Rattus norvegicus: one gene and its partners. The protein of the gene in region 4 purifies or fractionates together with the protein of the main gene of each other region. This does not show direct contact. Links are inferred from orthologs where the notes say so. Each region holds a gene or a part of one and is shown on either strand. Other genes may lie near its edges. The genes, in order: Cdc5l, Prmt5, Sf3a2, Snrpd3, Mepce, Snrpa and Sf3b1.

The links.
Region 1: the proteins of Snrpd3 (region 4) and Cdc5l purify together in Homo sapiens (affinity purification with mass spectrometry; 3 studies listed by BioGRID and IntAct, with this or other methods). This does not show direct contact. The link is inferred for Rattus norvegicus from reciprocal best matches to the Homo sapiens genes SNRPD3 and CDC5L.
Region 2: the proteins of Snrpd3 (region 4) and Prmt5 purify together in Homo sapiens (affinity purification with mass spectrometry; 3 studies listed by BioGRID and IntAct, with this or other methods). This does not show direct contact. The link is inferred for Rattus norvegicus from reciprocal best matches to the Homo sapiens genes SNRPD3 and PRMT5.
Region 3: the proteins of Snrpd3 (region 4) and Sf3a2 purify together in Homo sapiens (affinity purification with mass spectrometry; 4 studies listed by BioGRID and IntAct, with this or other methods). This does not show direct contact. The link is inferred for Rattus norvegicus from reciprocal best matches to the Homo sapiens genes SNRPD3 and SF3A2.
Region 5: the proteins of Snrpd3 (region 4) and Mepce purify together in Homo sapiens (affinity purification with mass spectrometry; 3 studies listed by BioGRID and IntAct, with this or other methods). This does not show direct contact. The link is inferred for Rattus norvegicus from reciprocal best matches to the Homo sapiens genes SNRPD3 and MEPCE.
Region 6: the proteins of Snrpd3 (region 4) and Snrpa purify together in Homo sapiens (affinity purification with mass spectrometry; 3 studies listed by BioGRID and IntAct, with this or other methods). This does not show direct contact. The link is inferred for Rattus norvegicus from reciprocal best matches to the Homo sapiens genes SNRPD3 and SNRPA.
Region 7: the proteins of Snrpd3 (region 4) and Sf3b1 fractionate together in Homo sapiens (co-fractionation; 4 studies listed by BioGRID and IntAct, with this or other methods). This does not show direct contact. The link is inferred for Rattus norvegicus from reciprocal best matches to the Homo sapiens genes SNRPD3 and SF3B1.

What each region holds. Positions count from the first base shown.
Region 1 is NC_086027.1:23,060,829-23,065,247, reverse strand, and holds the start of Cdc5l (cell division cycle 5-like protein), read right to left. Parts: upstream 2,852-4,419; 5' UTR 2,747-2,851; coding exon 2,702-2,746; intron 337-2,701; coding exon 233-336; intron 1-232.
Region 2 is NC_086033.1:31,945,498-31,949,790, forward strand, and holds the start of Prmt5 (protein arginine N-methyltransferase 5), read right to left. Parts: upstream 2,816-4,293; 5' UTR 2,802-2,815; coding exon 2,692-2,801; intron 2,083-2,691; coding exon 1,964-2,082; intron 1,662-1,963; coding exon 1,576-1,661; intron 1,038-1,575; coding exon 903-1,037; intron 279-902; coding exon 166-278; intron 37-165; coding exon 1-36. UniProt on the Homo sapiens protein: Arginine methyltransferase that can both catalyze the formation of omega-N monomethylarginine (MMA) and symmetrical dimethylarginine (sDMA), with a preference for the formation of MMA.
Region 3 is NC_086025.1:9,563,393-9,567,783, forward strand, and holds the start of Sf3a2 (splicing factor 3A subunit 2), read right to left. Parts: upstream 2,808-4,391; 5' UTR 2,769-2,807; intron 374-2,768; 5' UTR 338-373; coding exon 212-337; intron 103-211; coding exon 31-102; intron 1-30. Other genes in the region: Plekhj1 (pleckstrin homology domain-containing family J member 1), read left to right, coding at 2,904-3,082, 3,196-3,445, 3,686-3,752. UniProt on the Homo sapiens protein: Component of the 17S U2 SnRNP complex of the spliceosome, a large ribonucleoprotein complex that removes introns from transcribed pre-mRNAs.
Region 4 is NC_086038.1:13,142,039-13,146,227, forward strand, and holds the start of Snrpd3 (small nuclear ribonucleoprotein Sm D3), read right to left. Parts: upstream 2,883-4,189; 5' UTR 2,768-2,882; intron 1,490-2,767; 5' UTR 1,474-1,489; coding exon 1,348-1,473; intron 1-1,347. Other genes in the region: protein GUCD1, read left to right, coding at 3,496-3,751. UniProt on the Homo sapiens protein: Plays a role in pre-mRNA splicing as a core component of the spliceosomal U1, U2, U4 and U5 small nuclear ribonucleoproteins (snRNPs), the building blocks of the spliceosome.
Region 5 is NC_086030.1:24,547,204-24,551,395, reverse strand, and holds the start of Mepce (7SK snRNA methylphosphate capping enzyme), read right to left. Parts: upstream 2,801-4,192; 5' UTR 2,210-2,800; coding exon 626-2,209; intron 1-625. UniProt on the Homo sapiens protein: S-adenosyl-L-methionine-dependent methyltransferase that adds a methylphosphate cap at the 5'-end of 7SK snRNA (7SK RNA), leading to stabilize it.
Region 6 is NC_086019.1:91,611,841-91,615,111, forward strand, and holds part of Snrpa (U1 small nuclear ribonucleoprotein A), read right to left. Parts: coding exon 3,206-3,271; intron 2,209-3,205; coding exon 2,032-2,208; intron 61-2,031; coding exon 1-60. UniProt on the Homo sapiens protein: Component of the spliceosomal U1 snRNP, which is essential for recognition of the pre-mRNA 5' splice-site and the subsequent assembly of the spliceosome. U1 snRNP is the first snRNP to interact with pre-mRNA.
Region 7 is NC_086027.1:64,023,711-64,028,078, reverse strand, and holds the start of Sf3b1 (splicing factor 3B subunit 1), read left to right. Parts: upstream 1-1,359; 5' UTR 1,360-1,488; coding exon 1,489-1,516; intron 1,517-4,368. UniProt on the Homo sapiens protein: Component of the 17S U2 SnRNP complex of the spliceosome, a large ribonucleoprotein complex that removes introns from transcribed pre-mRNAs.

The DNA of each region.
Region 1 (4,419 bases), on a different chromosome or scaffold from region 4:
TCAATTAGTGCTAAGTTGTGAGAAAACAGGCAGGGTAAAGAGGAGGAAAAATGGTTTGCTCAAGACACAGGAAGCAAGTGGTAAGTACATCTAAAGGCCCCTCTTTCCATACTTCCCTCCATATCACAGTTCATGCTTTAGGGGAATAGAGGGGGTCAAAGAGCCAGCTCCCTCATCACAGTGGGGATCCGGATCACACTGCTTTCCCCTGGACTGACTGGTACATACATACCATCTGGCTTTGCACTGCTTTGCCGATTTCCTATGCAGCAATGAGGCAATCCTAGACCACTGGTTTTTCCCATATTTCATTACCGCTGCTTTAAGAATTTCATCCTAGAGAGTTACCAAAGAGAATGCATTCAGTCACAAGCCTCTAAATGAGAAAAGACAAAACTTAAGTTAGTCCCCGCAGAGGTCCTGTAGAGAGAGGCACACGATCGTTAAAAAAATAAAAAAGGCATGGAAACTTTATTATTCAGTGGTTAAGAACATGTACTGCTCTTTGCAGAAAATGTGAGTTCAATTCCCAGCACCCTTATCAGGCATCCTGCCTATAACTCCAGCTACAAGGGGATTCAAAGTCTCTAGCCACTGAAGGCACCTGTACTCATGCACAGACACATAATTTTTAAAGTAAAATATATCTTTAAAAAAAAAGAGAGAAAGGACATCTTACCTGCCCCTCAACAAACTGGAGGTGGGAAAAGTCAATGCTGAAAACACTACTTTATGACAGACAAAATTATTCACCCATATGTACCTGCCATTCTCTTCAAAGATAGAGTTCATATTTATATTTACTCAAAACAAAAATAACAACTGCAACAAAAACAAAAACAAAAAAAGCAAAGCTTCCTGAATATCTACCTTGAACCAGGTCTCATTATATACTCCAGGAAAGAGAATCAAAGAAGCAACTTGAGACTCTGGTTCAACACATTTCCTCTCCATCATCCTACTAACCACAACAGCTCAGGATCCACATTTCCCTCTACCTCATCAGTCAGCACCATCTACTCCAATCTCCAAAAACTACTTCACCGGGGTACCCATAGCATAACCCAATCCCCAGACAACCTGCCAAGCAAACTCACAAACATGAAAGTCGTAGATCTTTCTTGAGCACTTTACTTTTAGGCTTTTTCCACAATGAACTTGCATTGCCTGCCTTATACTTAAGCCCCTCCACTCCATCTTCTCTCCCATTACTAATTGGTAGAGTCCCCACCTAGTATACATGAAGTCCTGGGTTAGATTCCCATAAGACTTTGCATGGCAGTACACACCTGTAATCCCAGCCCTGGAGAGGTAGAGGCAGGAGGGTCACAAATTACCAGTCACTCTCATCTACATAAGAAGCTCAAAGCCAATCTGAGCTACATGAGACCCTATCTCAAACACACACACACACCCCTCTGCAGGGTTTTGACCACTGCTGTAACTTAAATTTTTGTGATTCTACTTCTTCCTCAGAAATCACCTCTTCCAAGTTTAAATAGCCTGGGTGCATGCAAGACCCTTTTTAGTACCTCCATTTGTAAAGTTTTTCAGCACATCTTCAACCAAATACATGTGGCAGGTCCCTATCCTACAAGATTCATTCCCAAACACCACCAAGCAGCCTGCTTCATACTAGCAGACCAAAGCCTGGTCCTTCTGCACTGCTGTCTGATGAGGACAACAGCAATTCAACTTTACTGAAAGCCTACTAATGTGCCCAGCTGTGTTTGAAATATTCCAAACTGCCAACTCATTTCAAGAGCTCAAACACTATTATGTGTCTTATAAAAATGAGTAAACTGAGGCTCTGAGAAGTTAAACTCCGCCAGAACCACACAGAAGTGCCTGCGACAACAAAATGAGCTGTAGCGAATGAAAAATAGGTGCCACAAACCCACTAAACAACCAACTCTCAACGGGACGGCTTATGGGCAAGGACTCCAAGAAGTGTTCTCAGCTAAGTTTGGAGGAGACTCAGAAAGATGCCAAGCAATAAGAAGCTATCTCAAGAAGGTACGAGACGTAAAGGTACTCCTACATTCAGCGCATCCGATTAAATACACGTTCATTTCATTTCTTTTATTTCCTTTCTTCTCCCGTTCCGCTCACCGTGACATTATCTACTACATTTCTGGAAGCAAACACCACCCTATACTGGCTTCTATCCCAGCAAGGGTGGCGTGACTGGAAGGTAAGAGAAAGGACCTTGGGAATCTGCAGAACGGACAGACTATGCCCGGGGACCAGATAAGCAGAGAGGTGCAGACGTAAACGCGCCGCCTGCCCCCGCTAAGTAAGTCACTGAAAAACAAAGTTGCGGTCACAGCGCTTCGCTCTGCTAGAACTGACAAAGGAAGGAGCTGGAGAAAAACTAGGCTTCCGCGGGGGTCCCGTCGGAGCCGCCACAGGGTTGCAGGGGAGAGGAGGGGGCGCGTCCCTAACTGAACAAATAAGTGTTCAAGGGCCTAGCAGATGCCAGGCGGGGAGCGCCGACCGACAAGTCGTGACCTCGTTCCCGAGGTTGAGCCAGGTGACCCGCATCCGCACCCACGCATGGCAAGGGTCTCCCGGGTCCGCAGAGTCGCGGCCCCCCACGCAGACCCCCGCGGGACAGCCAAGGCTCCCGGAGCTGTCCGCGCGTGCGCACTCGCTACCGGACCCGGCGGAGGGCTGCGGACGGCGGGAAAAGCTGCCTCACCTCCGTATTCCTCCACACGCCCCCTTTGATCATAATCCGGGGCATCTTGGCGGCGGAGTGTCCCGGCAAGCGGCCGAGTGGAGCTTCGAGAAAGTAGTAACGGCGCTTCGGTCACGGGACGCAAAGAGGCCACTTCCTCCAAGAGCGACCTTCTGCTTTGATGAGATCTGCGCAGGCGCGGCGTGAGCAGCCCCCGGTAAATCTCGCGAGATCTTAGAGGCCGAAGGCGAAAGACGCGGCCTATTTTGGAACCTTAACACTGACGGAAAATTATCAAACCGTAGAGGCCAAAGCGCCCGACGTCGCGCGCAGGTCCCAGACAGGTTGGAGGAAAACAAAACTCTCGCGAGATGCCAGAGGTGGAACTTGGCCGGCAACGCGTGAAGGGATTGGTCCCGAAGTCACGGGGGGGCGGTACAGGGGGAGGGGGGTAGGGAAGTCAGGGGTGTGGCGTTCCGCACCACGCTAGATCGGATGGGAGCTTTGTTAGTTTATTTAACGGAGCGCCCCGCTGGCATCTAAGCGACAAGAACTTCGCGGAGGCCTCAGGGAGATGCAATAGGGTGAGTCTGTTCTCTTCTGGGAACTACAACCCGCAGTGCCAAGTGCCGAGGATGCTGAACAGATTCAAGGTCCTAACTGTACCCTGAGAGACGCGACTGCTCTCCCGAAGTGTTCTTTATCCTTCCTAGAAGAGCCGCGCAAACTTCACCTCAGCCCCCGAGGAGTTCACGAAGGTGCGCCCTAGGAGCCCTCAAAGTGTCGCGCTCGCGGGTTTCACTCATACCTCACTGGTGGGTCTCTGTGGAACAAACTCGGCGGGTTGAGGGAGACTTGCCCCTGGGATCCTGCGGCGGCGTCATCTGAAGAGTGGAACTAAGGGCGAACTCTTGTTCATAAAATCGGAGGACAGCTGCGACTTCATAAACACTCGGTGAGGTGGAACCTGTCAAACTCTCCGCTATCTCCTCTCCCTCTCTCCCACGCAGACTATTCACTATTCCAGAGCAATTACTTGGTGCCACCCCAGGTCCCTAGGGAAAGATTTTATTCCATGCATAGCGGCTCTGCAGTGGTTCATTGCCATTGTCTGTGCTTCTCTTTGCCTCTTCTCGAAGACATGACGAATTTTCCGATTCGATTTTTGTTATTATTTTTCTCTTGAAATAGGAAATTGCACCAAAATATCACGGCTTTCAGTAGAGAGGAGGGAGGTGATGTAGTATTATGAAAAACACTTGGGTTTAGTGACCTACAATCTCACTTCACTTTTTTTTTAAAGGTTTATTTATTCTATATAAGTATACTGTCACTGTCTTCAGACACACCAGAAGAGGGCATCAGATCTCATTACAGATGGTTGTGAGCCACCATGTGGTTACTGGGAATTGAACTCAGGACCTCTGGAAGAGCAGTCAGTGCACTTAACCACTGAGCCATCTCTCCAGCTGCAACTGTGGGTTTATCAGGACTCTTGATTAAAATAATGGAAAGCTAACTCCAATCCAAAGGGGAATATGGAAGTAGCTATGACCTGGGAATGTTCTGGATCCAAGGATCTGAACGGAGCAACAGTGTACTTGCATACATAAAAGGCTTTAAATAAATCCACAGTTGAACCAGTCCTCTCCCAGAGCCCTTTCACATAGGCTATTCCAAAGGTTTATGGCAATGGCTTCTTCCACTCAGGACTGCCCCTAGACTTTCGGTCATATTTA
Region 2 (4,293 bases), on a different chromosome or scaffold from region 4:
TTACTATAGTCACACAGAGTCCGGAAGTTATGCCACCTGCCCAGAATCAGAAACAAAGAAAGACCCTGTCAAATGCATATGGCTTATAACTCAAGGAACACTCGAAATCCGTTCCCCATAGTCCTCACCCCGCCCTGTGCAGGTAAAGCAGCAAGAGAGACATACCACAACCACGTCTTCTCCTCTCCACTGTACTCCTCTGTGTGTGCAGTTGGTGCATTCTCAATTACATCATCTCTCAGGTCCTCTGGGGCCACCAAGGGGACCCTCATCCAGAACTAAATATGAACAGGTACCCTGTTAAAGCGCTGTTTCGAACTCAGTGGGTCCAGAAGTTAATCTCTTTATATGCTTTTCTAAAGATTTATTTATTATATTTATTATATAGAAGTACACTGTAGCTGTCTTCAGACACCAGAAGAGGGCATCAGATTTCATTACAGATGGTTGTGAGCCACCATGTGGTTGCTGGGATTTGAACTCAGGACCTCTGGAAGAGCAGTCAGTGCTCTTAACCACTGAGCCATCTCTCCAGCCCTATATGCTTTTCTAAATGTGATTACACGTGTTTGATCTCATACATATCCTTATACAAAGACTTAGCTTGTCTTTTACTTTAAATAGAAATAATTAAGTATTTTCTCTATCTTTAGTTTTATAGTACTAAGACTCAAACCCAGAGGCTCCTGTGTGCTAGGCAAGTGATCTACCACTGAGCCACATCTCTAGCCCCATAAGCTATGTTCTGAAACTCTCTGCACACCGCTTTTAGACGGGGTGGGGGAAGAACAGTACTGACATTTCAATTCTGCCAAATGCACGTGGCGGGGGGCGGGGGGAGCATAACTGGGCAAAAGGTACAGCTAGCGTGATACACAGTAGGAAAGAACCCTCAGTCATACCATGGAAGAATGGTGGCCAGTGTGGATGTGGTTGGTCAGAACTCTGGCCAGATTTGTGTTATCTTCCTGATTAAGGGGCAATAGGAAAGCTGGAAGACCTAGATATGCCCCAAAATTCAGCTCCTGCAACATAGCCTGAAACATAGGATGAAAGAAAACCATTAAGAGCTAAGAACCAAATACTTCTGGGGTAAGGTAGAGTAGAAACTGGCTCTGACACTGTGGCCCAGGCTGTTCTGGAATTTTCTCCATAAGTCAGCTTGACTTGGAATCTGAAGGAGTCCTCACTCACTCTCCAGAATGCTAGGATTACGGCTGTAAGCTGCCATACTCCACCAGAGCCAAACGTTTCCTCTTTTGAAACAGGGTCTGGAATTCAGCGATTCGCTGAGTTGGAGATGTACCTCTGTTGAGATTATAGATGTAAGCCATCACACATTTCTTCAGACACTTAACTGTACTATGATTTACCAGGTTACTCTCCTAACCTAGTTTAGTGACAGAATTACTTTATGTCCTTTTCTTTTCCCCGCATGGAATTCTCAGTCCTCCCTCATTATCTTCCAGATGTGGGAATAGCCTCCCAGATGCTTGAGATTGCAGATAGGTGCCACAATACCCAGGTCAGGCCTAACTTTTAAAGGGATCCCACAGAGAAATTAAACTGCCTTACCGCCTCAGAGTTCCTTCGGATCTTCTCCACTTTTGAGTCTGGATGAATCCATGGAGAAAGCTTTCCCACAATTAGCGTATTCCAGTCTGCACTCCCCCACCCAAGAAAAGACAAAGATTCAATGGGGTTTGGCATTTTCTTGCTCAACTTCTAGTTCTCAGCAGAGAGTAAAGAGGTGAAAAGCAAGACTTTTTTCTCTCTGATAGAGGGATAGCCTGATGAAGAATGGGGGGACTGCAACTTTTAGAAAGAAAGGGGAAAAAAAGTTGTTATTTATGTCATAGGGGCTAGCCAATATATAACCAAATCAGAGGAGGAAAATTAAGTCCTATAAAGCAGAAGATATTACTGCCTCTAATAATTAAGGGGCACAGGGTAAGGTCCCTACCCCTTCCTGACAGCAGTAGGTCTGATCGTGTCTGGGGGCCAGGCCGATTCTTAGCAGGTTCCTGAATGAACTCCCTCTTGAAACGCGGGTGGAAGACAGGCATGCAGAGGAAATCAAACCTACAACCGTGACAGACCCAGAATCATCATGTAAAGTAAGGGCCCAGAGATCCAAGCAACTGGGATATTAATATCTTGATTTTGCACAGTTCCATAAAGCCATCATCAGTCACCCCACGGGCTATTGAGTTCAGCCCATCTTGGGACACATCACTTTCACAACACTGTGCATCAATTTCTTCCCAAAACACAATCATGAACCGATGAGCAAGAAATGGACATAGAAGTCAAGTAGATTTCTTTCTTCCCTGACTTCACTGGCTTTCCAGGACTGTCAAATTTAGACCTGTCCCAACACTGCCCATGCCTCCTCAAGCCAGATTAACCTCTTCTCTCGCTCGCCTCCTTATACTTCTCTCTACTCTCAAATAATCCGTCTCCAAGGCCTACTGTACATCCCTTTTTAAATCTGCCCTGTAACTCCCCTGACTTTTGAACTCCGTGACCACACGCCCCCCAGAGTTTCAACCTCTCGTTCTTGGGGCCGAAGTCTTCCCCACTCAAGGAGTAATGGTGTCTCAATCCCTCATCCCCTGCGAGGTACTAGTCTGCCCTCCTTGTTCCCCAAATTTGGATCCCGCACTCCTCTGGAGGAAATCCGGCCCTCACCCCTGCTTGGCCACAGCACCCAGTGTGTCAGCTATTTCAGGGACGCAATTCAGGTCCCTCCCGCTGGACACGCGGCTGCCACCAGCACCTCCGACTGCCATCGCCGCCATCTTTTCCCTCGCGCAGCCCACGCCGGGATTCCTTGCTATTAGAGGCCAATCACAAAGCGGAGAACAGTCCCGGGGAGGCGGGACAAGTCGCCTTAACAACCAGAGCGTCTTTACAGCCCCAAAGCGGAGGTGGAGGGACCAAGTCGCTGCTCCCACCAATCCGCAGACCGCACAGTGACATGGGCGTGGCACCCTTGCTCTACCAATGACAGGCTCTCGTTGCTGACGCTCTGCAATCTCCCAGAATGCCCAGTCCATCTGTAGCGCTCTAGTGAGACTACAGGTCCCATGCAGCCCTGCGGGATAAGTCTGAAGTATCATTATTGGGCCGGCCTGTAATGTCTGCGGGCCAGTGGCGCAATGGATAACGCGTCTGACTACGGATCAGAAGATTCCAGGTTCGACTCCTGGCTGGCTCGTTGGGACTGGTACTCCTTTATTTGCATCCCTTGCTAATCTAATCATCTCCCAATGTTGCTACTTCAAAACGTCTTTCTTTTATATCCTCTGCTATTTCTTTCACGCTGTGGTTTTCAGGTCTTGGTTCGATTTTGCACCCATCTAATGCTGGCCTTTCTCATTCCTCTCTTCAAAGCTGTTTTGTATATAATCAAGTTATTCTGAGTATGAAAATTTTGGTGACTGGACTATTAAAATGAGTTTTGTCTCATTGTTTTGCTACACTTAAAAAATAGACTGTAGTAAATCACCCACTAATTCCTACTGATTCTGTCCCAAACACGAATGTAAGTAAATATCTTCGCGTGCGCACACACCTCAGAGAAAAGAAATTCACCAGAAATTACAGTGCCCAGGAACCATGAACCTGCATTTCCCACTCTTAACAGCTGCTCGCACGAGCAAAAGGAAATTACAGAGGCAAGGAAAGACCTAGGAAGGGAAAAGGGAAACACATCCCTGAAGACAACAAGCCCATAGATACTGAGGGCCCTCCAGCCAATCTGACGGAGTTCTTTTCTCAGCTGAAGTTCCCTCTTCCCAAATAATTCGCCTTGTATTACACTGACTTAAAAAAGCAAAAACAAAAGCAAAACAAAAACTAATCACGATATCCACGACAGGAGACATTGACAGAATTCAGGGACTAACTAACAAGGAGCCAGGAGAAAATAATTAATGATAATGATAATAATAATAATGACAACAATGACGACGTTCATCGTTTTGTCCCTGCAGTGGGTAGAGGTCAGGGAGAATCGTATTTGGGGACTGGATAGGCTGAACTGGTCGTCTAGAGAGACCTGAACCAGGCAATATTTGGACATGACTAGTGAGATTAGGGGTTCTGGAGGACAGTGCTCTTAGCAATACAGAAAGGACATGGAGTCCTGGGTCATGTGAAAGTCAGGAAACCAGAGAACTAAGAAAACGTCCCGTGAGGGTGTTGAGGGTGCATTTGTACCCTGCCACCTCCACCACTACCACCTCCCCTCCTTTTGCTGCTCTAGGACCTTGTGCAGTATACATCCTA
Region 3 (4,391 bases), on a different chromosome or scaffold from region 4:
CAGAATGGTGGAAGTCTGGTGGGCAGGTACCTCATTGTTATGCAGAGTCAAGCAGAGTTTGCACTCATAGGATCCCAGGTGGTTCTTCATGAAATACGGGTCCTGGGAGTGAAGAAATGTACCGTGAGACCGCACAGCCTGGCCCCGGGACCCAAGGACCAAGGTGGGCAAGGTGAGGGCTCTGCAGGCCTGGAGACTCTCCCTCCCCCACCTTATTGATGTCGATGGTTTCCAGGGCCAGTTGCCGCAGGCGCTCTCTTCGATCCCGGTTGCTCTCTGAGGAGGAGGCCACGCCCCCACTCCCAGTTTTGCCTCCAGGTCGGTGCTGAAAGTCCATGATGCAGGCCTGGGTACTTTAGGGGACAGGAGAAACCTGGGGAGCAAGGAAGACTAAGGCTTAGAACCCTGCTGATGATGCTAGGACCGCGGGATGGCCCAGCATGCAAGCCATCCCTTCTCTGACCTCCTGATCCTCCCAAGTGCTGTGACTACCATTGAGCCGCCTCTCCCTGATGTAACATATGATTACTATTATTGTTGTTGTTATTATTGAGGGAGGAGTCTCTACGTAGTCATGGCTATCTTAGAACTCTCCTCACACATTAGGCTGGCCTCTGCCTACCTCTGCTGGCATTAGAGGACACACCCTCCTCTGCCTGACACAAGGAATGCTCGATACCAAGGGTCTCACCTTGGAGGCTCAGCCAAAGCCTCCAGACAGTGTTACCTGAGGCAGAACACTTAAGACTACTCAGTCTACTGGTAAACCTACAGTAAACCCAGGGCCAGCGACCAGGAGACAAGTAGAGACAGCTCTTGTCATCATCACTGGTGCCTCCCATAGCACAAGGGGCTCTACAAATGTGACCAAGAACCTTGAGGGCAGGTACCCAGTTACTACAATGTCACTAGAGTGTGCTCAAGGCTGACAGGCCACTGACAGCACTGGCTGTCAAGGAGGAAGAGGCCAGAAGGCAAAGGATACAGGATGCTCTAGGTGCTGAGAGGGACGGCTTGAGAGGTGTACACTGAAGTGGCGGGACAGGAGCAGCCTATTAGATGTTTTGTACTCAGCCAAAGACTGAGAAGGGCATCGTCTACATCATCCAGAGCTACCAACAGACACACTCCCAGAGATGAAGCTGGCCAGACACGAGAGTACAGCCAAACGGTGGGAGAATCAATTGGCTTCTCAGAGTTAGGGGCACCCACAAGCAGCAGCAGCAGGATGGAAAACCACTCCAGGCTCAGGCAAAGACAACTCTTGAGAACATAGGACTCTGTGGCTGGCCTCCCCAGGGAGGCTGGGTGTCCATCCACAGACTTGACGGTGCCACTCAAGGAGAACACTTGTCCAGCATGCACTGGGTCCCCTGGGGGGGCATGCTTGAGGTTGAGTGCATGGATATCCACTGCAGAAATGTAGTTCATCAGCTTTGGAAGGAAAGCAGAATAAAACTGGCCTGGGTGAGCATACTGCTTGGCCCAGTGGATGGAGCACAAAGTTTTGCAAACGCTCACCAATGAACTACCGCCTCAGCCCACCAACAGTTCCCAACCTCAGGAAACAGAAAACATGGGGCATGGCAGTGTATACATTTCCTTCCAGCTCCCTTAGAGGCCAAGGTAGAAAGATGATGGGTATAATTTGAGACCAAACTGGGCTGTGCAGTGAGATCTGTCTCAAATAAAAGACAAAAGGGTGCTGGGTAGGCTGGCAAGATGACTTAGTGGCAGATCACAACCACCAGAAACTCCAGCTCCAGGGAACCTGACAGTCTCTCCTGGACTTGACGTTATCATACTCACACATGAAGCTCCACATGGACACACATTTGGAAAAAAAATCTTTAAAAACACGGGAAAGGGATTCCAATACCAGCTTTTATCTGCTTCCTGACTATGGCTGTAACACGACCACCATAGTGGACTGCACCTTCATACTATCAGTCAAAATAAACCTTCCTTAAAACAAAACAGTCAAGTGTAGTGGCACACGCTGTAAATCTCAGTATGCGGGAGGCAGAGGTATGGGAGTGTATGTGAGCTCGAAATCGGCCTAGTCCACACAGGGTTCCAGGTCAGCCTCAGTTATGCCGTGAGACGCTGTCTGAAATAAAGTAAAATTGTGCCGATGACTGGATGGACTCACAAGTGAAGCCTGGGACAAGAGACCAGGATGAATGGTTGGGAGCCGTGCGACCTCACGGACTACTCTAAGATTACCGATGAACGATCAATAGAAACAGAAGAGTAGTATATGTTAAGGTCACGGTCTGGGAGAAGGCCTGCCTGGTCTAAAGGCAAATCACTTTTTTTTTCTTTTTTCTATTTTTCGGAGCTGGGGACCGAACTCAGGGCCTTGCGCTTGCTAGGCAAGCGCTCTACCACTGAGCTAAATCCCCAACCCCGCAAATCACTTTTAAATGCATATACCGTTATCTTTTAATCCGAGCAACAGACCTACTACAGTGGACAGGAGCAGTAGTCGCCATGGCCCTGACTAACGGCGAGGGAAACTGAGGCAAACAAGCAGGTTAAATGACATTCCAAGAACCCGAACCACCCTAGAGGCCACGGAACCGCCACAAAAGTCCGCGATCACGCCACGACTCAAAGGACCTCGCGAGACCGCGCTCTTAGGGCGAGGGTGCGCCACGCCTAAGGGGAAAGGGCGGCCGCTGCCCCGCCAGGCCCCACGCTCTCGCTCCTACTTTCAAGACCCACAGACGGGGCAGCCGCCACCGACAAACCGCGTAGTTCCTTACCAACACCAAGGCCTCGGTAACTGGGCTTAACCTCCCCGAATGCCGCGATTTTGTTGTGCGCATGCGCACGACCGCTTGAGCAATCACTTCCGGGGGCAAGGAAGGCGGAGTTTCATGTGTGCGCATGCCCAGCGAATGGACTCCCCCTACGGGAGGCGGGAGAAAAAAAAAAGAGCGCCGGGACACGGAGTACGCGTGCGCACTGCATTGTCTACGAATTCTTGCTCCGCCCTAACTCTGTTGGCGCTGACTATCGCGACAGGACTTAAACCTCAGGGTTCACAGGCCCGGGAACGAGCTTCGCGTATCGTGAGGTGCTATGAGTCTAAATTTACACCCCACGTTCAGTGTGTCTGACGGTTATTTAAGGACGGGCGATTTCCTTCCCGTCCGACTCCTTGTTCTACTGTGCTGACCCACCAACTAGCGTCACGCAACACGCCCAACAACGCGCAGGCGCAGTAGCACCGTTGGGACTTACGAGGTCGCTTCCTGAGACTTTTGTGGCGCTAGTAGCGGCTTCGGGCAGGACGGCGGCCGAGAGGCAGGGCGCGTTTTGGTTCGCGCGGATCCGGGCGGCGAGATGCGGTACAACGAGAAAGAGTTGCAAGCGCTGTCCCGGCAGCCGGCAGAGATGGCGGCCGAGCTGGGCATGCGGGGCCCCAAGAAGGGCAGCGGTGAGCTGGTCCGGGCCGGGGCTGGGACACTTGGGCGGGCCGCGGGGTTCCCCGGTGGGCGGATGACAGCAGTTGCGCGCTGACACCGCCCTCTGCCTGCAGTGGCCAAGAGGCGGCTGGTGAAGCTGGTGGTCAACTTCCTCTTTTACTTCCGCCCGGACGAGGCCGAGGTAGGGGTGTGGGGGGCGCGGGGGACCCGCGCGGCCCAGAGGCCGGTGCTCATGGCCGTGTCTCGCGCAGCCCCTCGGAGCCCTGTTGCTGGAGCGCTGCAGAGTGGCCCAGGAAGAGCCGGGAGGCTTCTCCATCAGTAAGTGTTCTGTTCCCCACTTTCCACCCCGGACTCTGCTCCGCGCACGCGATCCTTTTTACTCCCTTAGGAATCTCCATTTGTCCTGGATCTCGCGTCCGCTGGTGGCCCATGACTGTCCCAGCTGTCACTCAGAGTGACCACTGGGTCAGGTTCTCATCTTAGTTTCTTCCCCGATCCTCTGCCGGTTTACGGCCGAGAGAGGTGCAGTCTGTGAACTTGGTGTGTATAACTGAAGCAGTCTCTGCCGTGGGAGTGAGTGTGCGGGCAGGGCTTTGAGGCCTTGAAGGACACCTGTCTCAGCCTTCACCTCTGGAGAGGTCTTTCTGCTGCGTACCTTGTAGAGATTTGTCCATCGTGTCTACCTCTGTCATCCAGTGGGGTTCTCCATCTGTACCCCTATTTTCTGCTTCTTGTACATGTGCACGCATGGGTTTCTGGGTGTGAGTATGCCAGAAAGGCCAGCGGAAAACTTGTGTAGTTGGATTTCATCTTCCACTGTGTAGGCCTCCAACATAAAACACTGGTCATTAGGCTTGTCAGCAGGCTCCTACCTGCTTGGCCACCTCACTGTCCCAACCCGGACTTGTTTTTAAGCTATATTGACCGGCCAGCAAATCGGTCTCTTCAGCACGGAGT
Region 4 (4,189 bases):
CTCCAGCTGCTGCTCTGGATCTGCCCTGGCACTCACTCTGCGTTAGCCATGCACACAGGCTGCCAGGGACTGAGCACAGAGGAAACATGAGAGCCAGTCCACTTCTGCCTCCAGTCACTCCTCTTACTTGGGGAAACTTGCTCAGCATCATGCTGCAGTCTGAGGCTCCTTCTGCTCAATCTGCCTTCCTTTCTCTGGATTGAAGACTCTCCTGCTACCATCATTACTATTATCGACTTAATGGATTTAGAATTACTGAAGGAAGGGACAGGCACGTCTGTGAGGGATTATCTAGATTAGGTGGAGGTCAAAAGTAGAAACTGGGCTAAGCGCAGGCACTAATCTCTGCTTCCTGATTGCACATTCAATGCGACTATTAGCCTCCTCAAGCTCTTGCCATCACACCATCCTCTGCAACAGACTGTGTCATCACACTGTGAGTCAAAATAAATTCCTCCTTCCGTAAGTTGCTTTGGTCAGGAATTTGATCACAGCAACAAGAAAAGTAACCAATCACATGTGCTATCCCGCTCGGTCACTGACATCCTTCTGCCATTTCCCCAACAAGTCTTTTGTGGATTTAATTCTGGGTTGGCATTTACAGCACAGAGGATCCAAAACAACTCCATTCTCATTTTATAGAGGAGAGAACGAATGGCCAAGGTACCCCAGGTCCTATAATTGTGGCCCAACTCAATTTGAAATCAGAGAATTCTCTGATTCCAAAGCTCAAGTTCTTAATTAATGGGAGAAAAAAAATCCAAAACCATTTATCAAAACTCTGGTAGTTTTATCAGATGAACTTTCTCCAAGACAAAAGTAAACACACACATATGTGAGCAGAAAATTCTGCAAACTATAAACTGTGCTGGGAAGCGGACTCCGGTTCCGAACCTGACCTACTCTAGGAGCCGAGACAGACAGAACAAGTTAACATAACTGGTTGTTTTACGGACAGGTACTCGGCAACTGCATTTGGATAAAGGCTACCTGAAAGCACACATAGACCCAACCCCAGAGAAAACTAAGAAGAGAGGCGGGGCTTTTAACTCGGCCTTTTGACTCCCCACCAAAAGCAGTGTGGTCTTGTTGTAAAGCCCACACTGGCCTAGAACCCTCGAATCTACCCCAGCCTCCCAACTGCTGGGACATTCATGGACTACCACATCAGGCTGTCAAATGACTTTCCTGTCTCAAGACTAAGTCTACATTGACATATGATCTCACAGCCTGTCAGAGTGCCTGACAGGTAGTAACTGTCTGGTAAGAATAACTTCATTAAGACCTTTTTATCCCCCAGGATAGAAGCCACCGTTCTTTCACAGCCCCGGGTGCAAAGCAGGATACCTGGCAGTTCATGTTGTCCTCTGCCTCAATGAGCTTCCCCCGATACACTTCACCAGTGTTGGTCTCACATGTCACTATGTGGCCTTCCGCTTCGTGCAGGACTTTAATTGGCACACCGATAGACATCTTGGCAGGACTCTTCCTATGGGGCAGTGAGAGAGACAATGGTTACCTTTCGGAGCCTAAGGACTGGCATTCCACAGGCTCTGCAGATTCTGTCACGGCTGCATTTTCTGTGGAAGGAGTCTGGCTCTTGGTTTGAAGGACCCACGACGGCAAGTTAGCCCAACATGTAGGGTAGGGAAGGATGGTAAACTGGACAAAGAAAGCCAATGAATGGGATCAGAGTACCTCCCTTCTTTTTTCTTTTTTTTTTGGTTCTTTTTTTTGGAGCTGGGGACCGAACCCAGGGCCTTGCGCTTCCTAGGCAAGCGCTCTACCACTGAGCTAAATCCCCAACCCCGAGTACCTCCCTTCTCACCCAGTCATATGTCCCTCTCTTTATAATCATTTAAACAACTATGATATGGACCCCGACCAAATAACTGTTTACACGTAAACAAAATGCAAATGAAAACAAAAAAAATCTGTCCCTCAGCCACACTAGTCATATTCCAATCACTCAGCAACCGCATTTGGATAAAAGCTACAGTACCTGATAGTACAAAGAGACCTAAACCCAGAGAAATCCAGGAAAACAGGTTGTGCTTTACAATTTAGCTTTTTGACTCCCCACCAAAAAGCAGACCAAAAGCGTCACGGCAACATGCTATAAACAGGAAATGCTCATCATTCAGGGAAATAGGGTAAACGCTCGACTTAAGTCTCATTAAAAAAACAAAGACTATGCGCAGGGCTTTTACATTTCTGAGACGGGAAACGACACTAGACGGAGCACACGGCCCATTTTCATGAGAAGACTATAAGGATGCTAAACATGGTGAGGAACCACGGCTTTCAACTTTAGGAGAGTGCTGAAAATGGTAGGGAAACACTACAGGATTATAGGCAAGGGCTTAAAAAAAAACTAGTAGCATCTACAAAGTGGATTAAACATATAGCAGAGCAATCTGCTGAAACGTCTGCAGCAGCGTGCAAAGCAGGAGGGGAGGCCAGTACAGGAATGGGAGTGGCGCAGGGATGAAAAGGACGTTGAAAACGAAGATCCGGAAGGCAAGGAGATAACTAGCAAGAAAGGACTGCCTGTAAGCTTCGAAAATCGGTGACCTGGAAAGGCACAGAACGTGCTGGCTAGGCGTAAATAAATAACTGTTCCTAGGATTAGTGAGATGATATTTGGATAGGCCCTGGCTTCCCGCCCTCCGCTAAGCCCCGCTGAGCTCCTCCTCCGCGTCCCTTTCAGCTCCTAAGCCTCTGGAGAGCCCTGGCCTCCCCTCTCCCGTTAGCCGCCTCTCCTCACCAACTAACTGCAGGCTTTTTTTTTTTTTCGGTCCCGGCACAAACGTTAGAAGGCGAAGGCTTGAGGCGAGGAAACGACGGGCCCGAGTATCACTCACACCACGCGCTCCCAGAATGCCTTGCGCAGGCCCCTCCCTTTCCTTTAGGCCTACTTACCCTTTACTCTCACTTAGCCGGCTGGGGAACCCAGGCCTCTAGCACTATAGTTCCGGCACTGTGGAGGGCCCGAGGACCGCCGGAAACATCAATCCTCGAGCCCACAAAGGAACATGGGGACCCACGCTTACAGAGTGCTGTAGTGACGGATTGGGCAGGATCTGGGCTTGCGCCCAATGCTCTGGGTAGACAGGAAGTGAGGCTTGGATTAGAAATTTAAACTTTGGATCCGGTCACCGTCAGGTAAGGGACACACCGAGCCCTGGGAACTATCTTTATTCAAGGTCAAAGTAAGAAGACCTAAAGGGAGTAGGAAAAGGATTCTTTGGAGTCTCGACGAGGCATTGCGAAGGACCAGAGCCTACAACTGAGGCTGCAAAAGAGCAGACCTAGTGGCGGGAGAGTGCTAGGTTGTTTGTGGGGAGCCAACGTCGCCCCGGGAAAGGCTCTGGGGGCGGGGGCTCGGGCAGGGGCGGGGCTAAGGAAGGGCGGGGCCGCCGGAGCGTTTAAGGGAAGGACCGGCCGGGAGCGCAGTCTGGAAGAGAAGTGGGTAGAAGGGAAGAGGTGTGGCTTATGGAAGGGGCGGGTTTCCAGCGCCCAGACCTGGAAGGGATTAGGCGTGGCTTGAGGCGGCCTCGCCACCGCCTACCCGGGTCTGAACCGCGGTGGCCGCGGCGACGGCGGCGGAGGAACTCTACGCTCACTGGCCGAGCTCTCCGCCCAGCAGAAATCGCAGCGGCAATCAGCTCCAGGCCGGGGCCATGGGCGCCCTGCGCCACCCGGGTCATGAGAACGGAGGTAGAGGCAGCGGGGCAGCCGCTCGAGCCGGGTCAGTGCCTCTCTAAGGGGGAACCGAGGGGGGGGGGGACTCCGCCCTGGAGCCGAGCAGGGTCTGGCAGCGTGCGACCTTGGGTCGTCTGCGGCCTCAGCCCAGCCTGGAGCCTCTAGTGGGTCCTAGCTAGGTGGATATTCCTTCTCATCTCTTATCCTCAACTTATGGTTGTTCTGAGTCTCCCGGGGTTTGAAGCCCAGGGAGTTCTGAGAGTGGTCAAGTGGAAAAGTCCAAGGGGCAAAAAGGCACAACCTTGCTCAGAAACGAATAGCCCTGCTTGAAGCACGTTGGGTGATCCTGTTTCCCGGGGAGCTGTGGAAAGCCTGAGGCCGGGAAGGGGGGGAAAGAGGGGCCTGAGAGCACTCAACAAAGGGGCGGGAAAGAGGGGAAAAAATGGCTTGGGAGCATCTAGCAAAGGGAAGGTCTTTTTCTCTG
Region 5 (4,192 bases), on a different chromosome or scaffold from region 4:
CTAACAACTGTGTAATGGAGGGAACTAGCATGATGTCAGGCTGGGCACTCGCTCCATGTAGAGCCCTGCCTTCACTGCCCCTTCTCATTGTTCAGTCAGCATGGGAAGACAAGCCCATGAGTTCCTGACCAGTAATTTCAGCAGTCTGTGCTGCATCTGGGGAAAAAAGGCAAATAAAGTCCCTATCAAAGTCCCAAACTACACATATTGGAGTGTTTCCCCTCCCCCAGACACCCAACTTCAGGCTCCCTCAGGAGATTTGAGGACAAGGTTCCATCTGGACTCAACAGGAGAGGTTACCCTCAAGGGAAGCGGATTGTTTGGATTTTAGTCCCAGTTGGAAGCAGAACAAGTCAGCCCCCTATGTTAGGGATGAGATCCTTGTTTGTAGTCATGAGAAAAGACCAGATGTTAGAGCCTGAAGGTAGAGATCCCACTTTCCACGTTATAGGAGCAGAGATAACACACCCAGCAGAGATTCTCTGGCCAATCCAGACTGTTCTCTCCGGGAGATGGTTCTTGTATGAAGGAACAGATGCATGGATATGGCCATCCCCCCCAACACATCCCTACTTAATCTCATCTTCACATTGGGACCCTATTCCAAGAGCCTCTGGACTCTTACCGTGACGAAGACGACATTGTTGGGGAAGACAGATGTGTCCGCTCCATCCAAGGGCAAATGGGGTGCAGCGATGGGACCCCGGCTGGCTGTCAGTGAGGCTGGGAAGCAGCTCCTTTTTCGGACAGTGGTAGTCCCTTCCTCCCCCTCTGTCCCTGGGTCCCCCTCAGAAGTCTGAGCTTGGAGACGAAGCTCCTCGGACAGGTAGTGTCGGATATTTTGGCGGGCAGAGTGGATAAGTCGTGGATCAATGTCCAGCCCCACCATGCGGGCTGGGCCCCACTTGCAGGCAATACTTAGGGTCAGATGGCCAACGTTGCAGCCCAGATCTAGGACGTCCCGGCCTTGAAACCACTCAGGCTTCAATACCCTAAGGCGCATGTCCTCACAGGAAGGATTGCGATAGCCATAGTACTTGCAGTAATTCCCATACTGGAACTTGAGCTGTTGCTTTTTGAAGCCAGTTGCAGGTAGTGGGTGGTGGTGACGGCCTCCCCCACTCCCTCTGCCCTTTTCCTTGGAACCCTGGCTTCCACCCCTAGCCCCTGCCTCTGACTTGCTGGAAGTCCTGCGACGTTTGCGATGTCGGGAGGAGGAGGAAGAGGGTGCAGAGGTAACTGAGGCAGCTGGAGGGGCAGAAAGGGAGCCTGAGGAACCCTGCAGGGCAGACGGAAGGGGAGACACAACTTCATCCCTGCAGTTGATGGCTGTGTTGAGTTCATAGGGTTGAGGGTCATCTCGGTTCTGGCCTCTGTGCTGCTGCGTAGCACCCTCCCCATGGACTGAGGGTGTGAGAGGGTCAGTGGGCAGCACAGCTTGGCTATCATTCCCTCCAGATGCCTGCTGCTGCTGGTGGTGCGGTCCCCGGTGTCTATGGCGCTTGCGACCAATCTTGAGTGGTGAAGCAAGCACTACATGGGCTTCATCAGTGCACGTGTTGAGACTGAGTGGGTCAGTGATATCTTTTGGGATGAGGATCTCCACAGGGTCTCTCCCCTTGGCCGGAAGTGGGGATGACTTTGGGGTCTCCGCATTGAGTGCGCGACTCACTTCCTCATCCAGGAGGCTATTCAGGTTCAGTGGATCAAATATATTACCCCCCAGAAGGAAATTGGATGGTAACACGGAGTCGCAGTCCGAATTCACTCGCCGGCGCCTCTTGAAGGCCGGATGTTTGAAGCTTCCACCGCTCCCTCCCCCCACGTTACAGCTATTTCTTCTTTTGCCCCCACCACCCACTGGGGGTCGGTGGGGCTGGTAGCCATTGCGAGGTCGAGGAGGGGCTGGGGGACCCAGGTCCGTCCCGCCCCCTCCCCGGCGCTCCTCCCCCACGTCCGCAGGAGCGGCAGCTCGCCCGTGGGGCTCCCCATGCGTCTGTGCCTGGGGGCCGCCCCCTCCGCTGGCTGTGGCCCCGGCCGAGTGCGCGCGTGGGCCCGGCCCGCGTTCTGTCCCGTCGAGGAGCTCCCCGGAGGCAGCCTCTTGGTGCGATCGCACCTCGGGGCCGCCCCCTCCACCCGACTCATCTTTGAGCGGCGGCGGTGGGGCTGGCACCAGAAAGGGCTCCTTCTCCGCCGCCATCTCGATCATCTCCTCTCCCTGTTTAATTTCCCCTTCCCAAGCGAGGGTACTGAGAAGAGATCAAGGGGAAGCCCCCCTGTAACCCTTCCTAAGACCACCTCACTCCCTCCTTCCCCGAGTGCGCGCGCAGCTCTGCCTCGCGCCCAAGCGCCTCCACCTCCCTCCCGCAACACACCAAGCGCGCTCCACTCGCCCGCGAGACCAAAACAAGATGCCCGCGAGACCCGGACAAGCCGAGGAACCAACTGCGCGTGCGCTGACACCCTTTTCTCCGCCGCCTCTACCACTCTGCCGCGAGCGCGCACGACGGGCGCGCGTTCCGCTCGCCCAGGACCCACGCATGCGCGCTCCGCCACCACCCAGGCTGCGCGCGCATCGGGAGTGCGAACCAACTTAACGGCTCTGAGAGTTTAAATACAGCCCCCCCTCCCTAATAGCCTCACCCTCCCCCAGCCCGAGACGCCCACCGCCCCACACGGACACCCGACTTCCCTTCGCTGCTAAGTCCAAGCCCTACTGATATCCTTTGTCTCTGCTGTGAGATCCCACCCACCGTAGGCGGGGAACGGGAGCTGGTGTGAAAAGGTCTCCTTGACACCCGACCCTTGTTCCTGAGGAATGAGGCTCCGCGGTCTCCGCCCGGCTCTAAACCCAACAACCTCCCTGCCCCGCCTCCTTCCTCCCCCATCCCCGCCCCTCCTAGAGAGCGCCTGCGCACCGTCCTTTTGGGCTTGCGCGGGTTGAAGGGGCAACACGTGCTGGAGATGATGCTCCGCCCCCTCCGTCCTAGGGGCGGGGAGTATGACGTCGTTTCCTTAGGTTAGATGCACGCAGCGTGCGTCAGCACGTTTCCAAGGGTTGTGCATTCCCAGGAAAGGGGCAAGCTCATGAATTATTCATGAGCAATCTAGTCCTTCCCCTCCTTCTTCCCGCCCATCTCATTAGAATTAGAAGGATTTAGGAGAACCTGAGGGGGGAATGATAAAGTAGGCGAAGGAGTCGAGCACACTGTCTCAAGAACTGTTGTCAATTAAATGCAATACATTGTTTAAAATATTCTTCGAATTGAAAACAAGCAAGCACTAAAACATCGAGGCTGTACAAATTCCTCTTCCCCTGAAACGGCCTGGTCGTTCAGGCGACCTCCCTTCCACCAGCGAGGAACATCTAGAGAACCACGCCTTCCTCTCCTCCCTTCACCTACGTCAGGCCTCGGACGCCTCCGCTACAGTGCGGCGCCTGCGCATCAGTCCCCAGCGCGAAGGGTGGCGTTGTTGTTATCGTCAATGCCACCTTTCGCGTTGTGGATTTTACAGCATTATCGCTGCAGCTTTGCTCCACTAGACACACAAGCGAATGTGGGCGGGAACGGGTATCGACCTGTTTTGGGCCTTCTGCTTCGGCCAATGGGAAGCACTGATTCCATGCCGAGTCCCTAGACTGATGGCTGGCGGAGTTTCCCTGTCAGCAGACTATCAGAAAAGAAGCAAGAGGGGGGCCCAAGATGGTCTCAAAATATAAGAGCGTGACGGAAACTAAAAGATAGGGGTCATAACATGGAAACAGGAAGGAGAAGGAGATTTTAGGCAGAGACAAGAACGAAGTGCCTCAGGTGCTCCGCTGCAGCTTATGGGGGGGGGGGGGAATAAAGGCGCCGGCGTGGATTATGGGACTTGTAGTTTCACTAGGCTTTCACTCGGAAGATGGCGAGCTACTCCAGCTGCTCAGACGCAAAAGCGGCTTCCCTCGGCGCATGCGCACTACGTCTGTGAGCGCACGCCGCTTGGGGGCGGGATTTGTCCGTGTCTTCGCGCCTTCTCCTGGTGGCGGGAAAAGTAGCTCGAGGTGGAAGGGATGTGCGGAATGGCTGCGATAGCGTTAGCTGCGCTTCATCTTTAGGTCCTCGTCTCCCCAGAAGGTAGTTGTCTTTTATGCGGCTGCAGAGGAAGGTGTTAGCTGTGGTGAATCTGGGTACCTGTTGGCTGAGGAGAA
Region 6 (3,271 bases), on a different chromosome or scaffold from region 4:
GGGAGGCTGTCCTGGCATGTGGTGCATGATGCGGGGTGCCTGAGTCATCGGTGGCATGCCCTGTGGAGAAAAGAATTAGCAGTGATGTCACAGGGATAATGGAAGGCAAGGTCACAGTGCCCACAGCACAACGGAGCCACTGAGATAAGACAGAAAGAGAAAGACCCACACTTGAAAAGATGAAAAGCAAACCTAATTGAGCCGCCAAGAAGGAAAAGCTGAAGTTCAAGGATGAATGCTAGACCACAGAGAGCTTTTTGAAGGGGGGAAAAAAGAGGCATAATTACTAAGGCCCAACTTTGTCCAGAAGTATGTAAAGACATTGGAGGGAGGCTGAAGATGACTCAGTGGTCAAGAGAGCATGGTTCCCAGCACCTACACAGCAGCTCACGGCGCCCTATGTTTCCAGCTCCAGAGGATCCAGTGTCCTCTTTGGGCCTCCACAGGGACTGCACTCAAGTGCACAAACAGTCACAAACTTAGAAAGTTCTTACCACGTAGCCTGACTGGCCTTGTACCCACAAGGACATACATGCCTGCCTTGTGCTGGGACTTAAGGTGTGTAGCACATGTGGCCCAAAAATTACATGTTTAAACAAAAGAAGAAAAAAAGACAAGAGGTGGCTCAGCAGTTCTGACTTCTTTCAGAGGACCAGCATACAGAGGACAGATCACAACTGTTACTAATTCCAGACCAGGGGATCCGAGGCACACACACGTATGCAATAAAAAAACAAATACCCACATGGACATACTCCTATATGTATTAAAATATACATATATTAAAAACACTCTAATGTAAACTAAAAACAAAAAAGGTGGTTCAGCAGGCACCAGCCTCCAAGCTGACACCCCGAGTTCAACCTCCAGGATCCAGTAGAGTAGAAGAAAATTGGCCACAAGTTGCCCTCTGACTTCCGCTCATGTGCATGGGCATAAACACTCATAAGCACAGACAATAAGCAAAAATGTAACTTAGTAATGAAAATAAATCGAAGATGGAAGAAAGGTTGAGAGCAGAAGTGATCACTGGGCCAAGCCAAAGACACATCTACCACCACTAGCTACAAAATGACTCAGCCTAAGAACCATCGGATGGAGACGGAAGGAGGCTCCACACTTCAGCTGTCCTTTCCTTTATGCAGTGTTTCTGGAGTCCATTGCAGAATGATGCCCTGTTTCCTATTGGGTCAGCTGTCACACTTGGGCCCATGAGTCAGCTTGAATTAATGTTCTCAAAACAGGCCAGAATAACCTTAACCTCCCAGTCTCGACACCACTCGCAAGGGCACACATTAACCCTGACGTAGTACAAGGTTAATTTCCCTTCTTTCAAGTGCTGGGAGTTGAACCCAGAACCTTATGGGAACTAGGCATACCTCGTCCTAGGCAGGGCATCAGAAGTGCAAGGATTCCCTACCAGGCTGGACTGTCATGTCTTATGAGCTATCCCTCTACCCATAGGCTGGCCGTCTTGGAGGCCGGAACTCCAGAAGCTGTCTTCAGCACTGGACAACTGAGAAGGTTCCCTCCTCCTTCCACGGGATCCCAGGACTTACTTGGCCAGCACTTTTACCAGCAGAGACAGCATCACGGACACGTCTGCCTAGAGCATGTGCAGGCGCTCTGCCTCCTACCCAGCAAAGGCGGTTTTACCTCTGCATTTACTCTGTGATCTCTTTCCTCAACAGAGAATAACTCTCTCCTCATTTCTCCTTCTGCTTACAGCACTAGGGACTGGACGGATGGTAGGCTGGTAAACTTTTACTTTCTATAGAGACATGGACTTAGCGTGAGCATGCACAAACATGAACATACAAACACACACTGAAGTAAAGATACACAAAACAAAACCAAACTCAAGGAAGAAAACTAGCAGACAGACCTTCAAAAACAATCAAGTGTATGCAGGGGAAGAGAGACCTGTTCCATCCATATGGCTCACCCAACCCAATGGGACAACGTGCTCACTCTACCCCCACATGAAGCCATGTGACTGAAGGAGTGGGAGGGACACTTTTCTGCACTTACCGGTACAGGCTGGACAGCGCCAACCACAGGGGCAGCTGCCCCACCCTGAACAGCCTTTTTGGCAGCAGGTGTCTCCTGACTCTTGGGCTTCCTCTTCTCACGTTTGCGATCTCTCTCCACAAAGGTGCCCTTCATTTTGGCAATGATGTCTGAGTCAGTCTTTGCGTACTGGATACGCTACCAATCAGAGCAGAAAGGTCAAGGGTATAGAAATCAGGGGAAACTGTTAGGGTTCAAAATGAGACATCAAAAGGAGCTTGCTAAAAAATGTTAGAGATTGCTTGGTGACAACTTCCTCATCTGTAAAATGGGGATATCTTCCACTTGACAGAATTATTGTAGAAAGTTAGTAAGTCTAAGCGCCTGGAAGCAGCTATAACTGTAAGCTACAACATGAGCTCAGTCTGGCCTGGTCCACCCTGCTGAGAAGGGGACCTGGATACAACTTTTCAGATACAATGGTCAGGAAAAGCAGACACACAAAAGGGAGGGGTGAGAACCCTGTGGACACAAGGAGGACCTAGCAAGGGAACAGCCAGGAAGCTAAGGGATGAGAAAGGTTGGTCTGGGATCCTAGCTGCTCATGAGACGAAGGCAGGAGGATGGGCTCCACTCCTGCCTAGCTACATGGGGATAAGAGGAAGTGAGGAGGGGAGGTCACAAGGACAAGGGGAACCCTTTGTGCTTTCCTAGGAAGCTGAAAGACAGTGTTGTAAGGAGGGACGGGAGCTCTCAGAAGAATTCAGATGTGGAGACAAGGCTGGGTGTGTGGAGGGGGACAAGCAAAGGTGGTGGCTAAAACAAGGCTTCCAGTGGAGCTTGGCAGTACAGGCAAGAGGCTGCAGTCATAGGACGTCTTCAGAATCCTTTGCTCACTTTGATTCCATCATATTTTTGGAGTATTTTAGACAGGCTCCAACTCTGCAGTCTAGGTTGAGTCAAAACTCTTGGCAATTAATTCTCCTGCCTCAGCCTCCTGCATGTAGGCACAAGCCACCACACTCAGCTACTTGATCACTCTGTGGTCCCACAGCCCCCGTATAAGGAACACAGGAAGTAGGGGAACAGCAAGAGAAAGTCGCATCCTTAGAACACTACAGGCCACAGGAAGTCCACGCCCGCCCAGTCTCCTACACTACACACAACATGCAAACTTCACATTCAAGATACTCACCATGGGCTTGTCGTAGAAAGGGAAGCCCTGCATGGAACGCAGGGCGTTGGTGGCACTGCTGACCTC
Region 7 (4,368 bases), on a different chromosome or scaffold from region 4:
CTCTGAGTATGAGGCCATCCTTAAATTTGTAATTTAGGTCCCAGCCCTGGGTTACATTTAGAACAATTTAAACAGCGATAGAAAGCTGCAAATCTGGTCAATAGGTCACTCCTCTTTGCCTGATCACAGCAAAGTTATTGCAAGAATTATTTTAAGTACACCCATGCTGTTCTTTTTCAACTAGCCATTACCTGGGGTCATCTTGCCCACCGGACAGAATTATTTCTCGAGAAGAGAACTGGGCTTTATTGCAAATCAGGACTTAACACTGCTTGTGACCCTATCCCCCTTGAGCTGCCTGTTAGGAAAGTGTTCTATGGTGTGGGGGCAGGCCTAATGGCTGGTCAATACTGAACAAGCATTGCCATCTTAGGCATCGTAAACTTTAACAGGTCTGGGTATCATACTGTTTTTTGGGGGGTATTTTGAGGGCAGCATTCCTTTAGCTAAATTCTACTTTGTGTAATTTAATGTCTCGTAAGCAAACCTATTAGTAATTACTACATCAATTCTATTACTTTGAGTTTCTTTTACATCAAATCCTTTTAATAATGCACACCTGAAGGAAACATTGCTTGAAAAACTATCCATATTTCTCCATGCCTCATTGTGAGGCTATGCAGCAAGCTTTTTCTAGACAGTTTCTCTTTTTCTTTAAAATAATGTGTATGTATGTAGTGTTCATAGGTCCATCAGATACCTGGACTGGACTTAGTTTGTGAGGGGCCATGTGAGTGCTGGGAATTAAATCTGGGTTCTCTGGGAGAGCAACCGTTTCTTAACCTTTGGGTCATCTCTCCAACCTGTCCTAAAGTTTCCAATGGTGCCCTTTCTGTTTTCCACTGTCCTGAATCTGGGAGTTCTTTCTTTCTTTCCCTTTTTTTTTGAGACAATGTATCTATTTTTGAGCCAGGCTTCTGGGAACCAAGGCTAAGAGCCTAGTTTATTTCCAAATTCGTTATGTAGCAGAGGTTGACCTTGAACTCTGGATCTTCCTGTCTCACCTTTTGAGGGCTGGGTTATATACTTCATCTCCGGCCCCAGCATTTAACTCCCTTAGAATAATCTGTTCTTTTTCTTTTTTCTCTCTCCTTTCCCTTCCTTTCGTTTGCTTTTTTTGAGACAGGGTTTGTCTATGTAGCCCAGTCTTCCCTGGAACTCTCTTTGTAGATCAGGCGGGTCTCGAACTGCCTTTTGTCTTCCAAGAGCTTGAATTAATGGCTCTGAGAAGACGCGTTTCACTTGGAGAGCAGCCATTCTCTTCAGCCTCGCTCGCTGTTTAAGGAAGCCGCCGGGAGCCCGCCCTGGCCCCTCCCATTCCCATCATGCACCTCGCAATTTTATTTAGGTGGCAGTTGGACTACGTGCCACGGTGCGGCGCGCGTTCTCGTGTGCGCAGGCTCAGAGTGCGGCCTGCTTCTTGTGTTGGCGGAGGCGAGCGGAAGTCCTTGGGAGCGCCAGTTCCGTCTGTGTGTTCGAGTGGACAAAATGGCGAAGATCGCCAAGACTCACGAAGGTAAGCGGCCTTTCCCTTCCCACGCGCGACCTCGGCAGCCAGCCAGATGCGTCCCTCTCTCTTGGCTTTCGGCGTCTTCGCGAGGCATCTCTGGCCTGGGCCGAGTCAGCGCGGCGGGGCCTGCTCGGCTCTTCGGCGCAGGCCGCTACCCTCGTAATGGCGTCCTCTTGCACTCCGGGGCTGGTGCTTTGTTCCGCGCTGGATGTTGGTGCTTCGGACTTCTCTTGCTCTGGCCGGAGGGCCTCGCTCGAGCGGCTTGCTCTGGAGGACTCCGGGGGAGGGAGCAAGAGGCGGACATGGGAGGGACGTCTCTCTCGCTCCCTGGGCGCTGTCGTTGGCAGTTTGCACCTGGAAAGCCCTGAATGACGGCAGCCGCTTTCGGGCCGCTCTTAACGGAGTCCGTTTCAGCGGAGGCCTGTTACTTCAAACCTCCGTTGTATAGGTATCTCCAGGCGGCTGGGTTATGTTGTGGTGGTGCTTGCACGAAATGATTCCGGCATAAAATCTGGTAGTTTACTCCTTAAATCACTTTCAGCGTAGTGTTTCTCTTTTTCTTTGAGAGCTAAATGTTGGAGAACCAGGAGTAAGAAAGAAGGAAGGAAGGGCAGATTTGACCAGTTGCCAAAGTTTTCAGGGTAGTCGGTCATTTTATGCCCCACAAGAGTAAAACAGCTTGAAACATGTTGAAAAGCTACCGGATTCCATAAAGAAGGAACCAGAGAAGACGGGAAGGAATTGAGTGTGAGAGATTGAATCTCTCTTTCTTGGCTTCCGGTTTAGAAGCCAAAATTTACGCTGACAACATGGCTACTAAGTCACTAAACAAGTCCTTTCTAAGTGTGTGTCTTGGTGTTAGAGAGAGGTAACAAGCTAAGGATGTTAGAAATTTGACAGTTTGATGTGGAAAACAAACGTGAGTCTTTATTCTCTTAGAAAAGGAATGTGTACAGAGAAGTAAAGCCAATACTTTCTGAGAAGCTGGGTAACGGAGCCATTAATTTATGCATAGTTATTTTTGGGAGGTGGTGACGTGGTGCTGATAAAAAAGGATCAATCAGTTTTAAATTAGAGGAGGATGTCTGAGCCCGAGGGAACATCTTGTAAGAACACTCGTGACTCGTAAGTGACTCGTTGTTGTGGTGGACTAGGGTGTAAGGAGGGAATTCCGATACGATTCTAGAGAGATGGTTTAGGACCAAAAGGTGATTGTTGGGACATTGGAGGAACTGAAAGTATCAACACTTTTGAAAGCCAGAAATGTTAACGCCTTAGTCTTTTGTTTTTAAACTGAAAGTACAACACATGTTTTTGTTTTCTTTTTTTCTTTTCTGAGATTACATAGTGATCCCTGTTGCCCTGAAACTTCCTATGTAGACAAGAATAGGCCCTAGTCTACAAGGTTAAAAGGCCCGAGTGTGCTATGTCTGGCTAGTCCAAGACTTTTTTTTTTTTTTTTTTATTAACTTGAGTATTTCTTATTTACATTTCGAGTGTTATTCCCTTTCCCGGTTTCCGGGCAAACATCCCCCTAACCCCTCCCCCTCCCCTTCTTTATGTTTTTTTTTTTTTTTTTTTTTTTTCCTGGAGCTGGGGACCGAACCCAAGGTCTTGCGCTTGCTAAGCGCTCTACCACTGAGCTAAATCCCCAACCCCGGTTTTTTTTTTTTTTTTAAATTGCAATCTCTCTCTCTCTTTCTTTAAAGAATGATTTATTTCATGTATGTGCGAACACTGTCGCTAGGTTATTTCATTCTGGGGAACCAGTGAGTTTTTTGGGCTTACAGAGCCTGGTATGAGGGGAAGTGTTTACTGACAGAAGCATGGTTTACTGCATGCTGGCATCTCCATAGCTGCATAGGTAGAGTTTCATGCCCTGATAGGTTATTTATTTATGGATATTTTGTAGCTTTGATTGTTGGCTTATTGATATCTTCAATGTAACATACTCCCTGTTAGAAAATGTAAAGTTTATTTTATGTGCAGTAGTGTTTTTCCTACATATATGTCTGTGAGGGTGTCAGATTCCCTGGAAGTGGAGTAAAAGACAGTTGGAAGCTTCCACATGGGTGCTGGGAACTGAACCCAGGTCCTCTGGAAGAGCAGCCACTGCTCTTAGCTGCAGAGCCATTTTTCTAGCGCTGGTAAATGTAAAGTTTAGGGATGAATTTATTTATTTTCTTTCTTTCTTTCTTTCTTTCTTTCTTTCTTTCTTTCTTTCTTTCTTTCTTTCTTTCTTTCTTGTTTTTTTCATTGTAGAAGTCCAGCAAACTTGTTGGTCAGTTGTAGGTCATTGGCAGAAATTGCTAATTAGGATTATTTTATCGTTGAATTAATTAGTATTGTACAAGTGCTGTTTGAATGCAGGGTGCTGTATGTCACTATTAGGTATAAGTCAGATGCTAACACCACCCCCCCACCCCCCAAAGACAGGGTTTCCCTGTATAGACCTGGCTGGACCTAGCTGACCTGGAATTCTGTACACGGGGCTGGGCCTTGAACACAGATTAATCTGTGTTTCTTAAGTACTGGGATTAAAATTCTCGCATCACCACCGCCCATCTCATAACTTTTTAGTAGAACTGTATATAGCATTTTCATGGCCTCTTGCTCTCTTAATGACGTTTTCCTGGAGAATATAGTGTTTTACAACTGTCATTTAAGTCACTGTAACATGGAGCAAAATTCGTTTTCCTGAGGGGTGTGGCCCTCAGTATAAGTCTTCATTGTCTTAGTCTTTTTGTTTTTTTTTTTTTGTTGGTAGGTTTGTTTGTTTTGTGGCTTTGCCTTGGAATTTGCTCTGTATATCAGGCTGGCCTCGAACTTTCTGTTTTTTGAGACAGTTTCTCCATGTA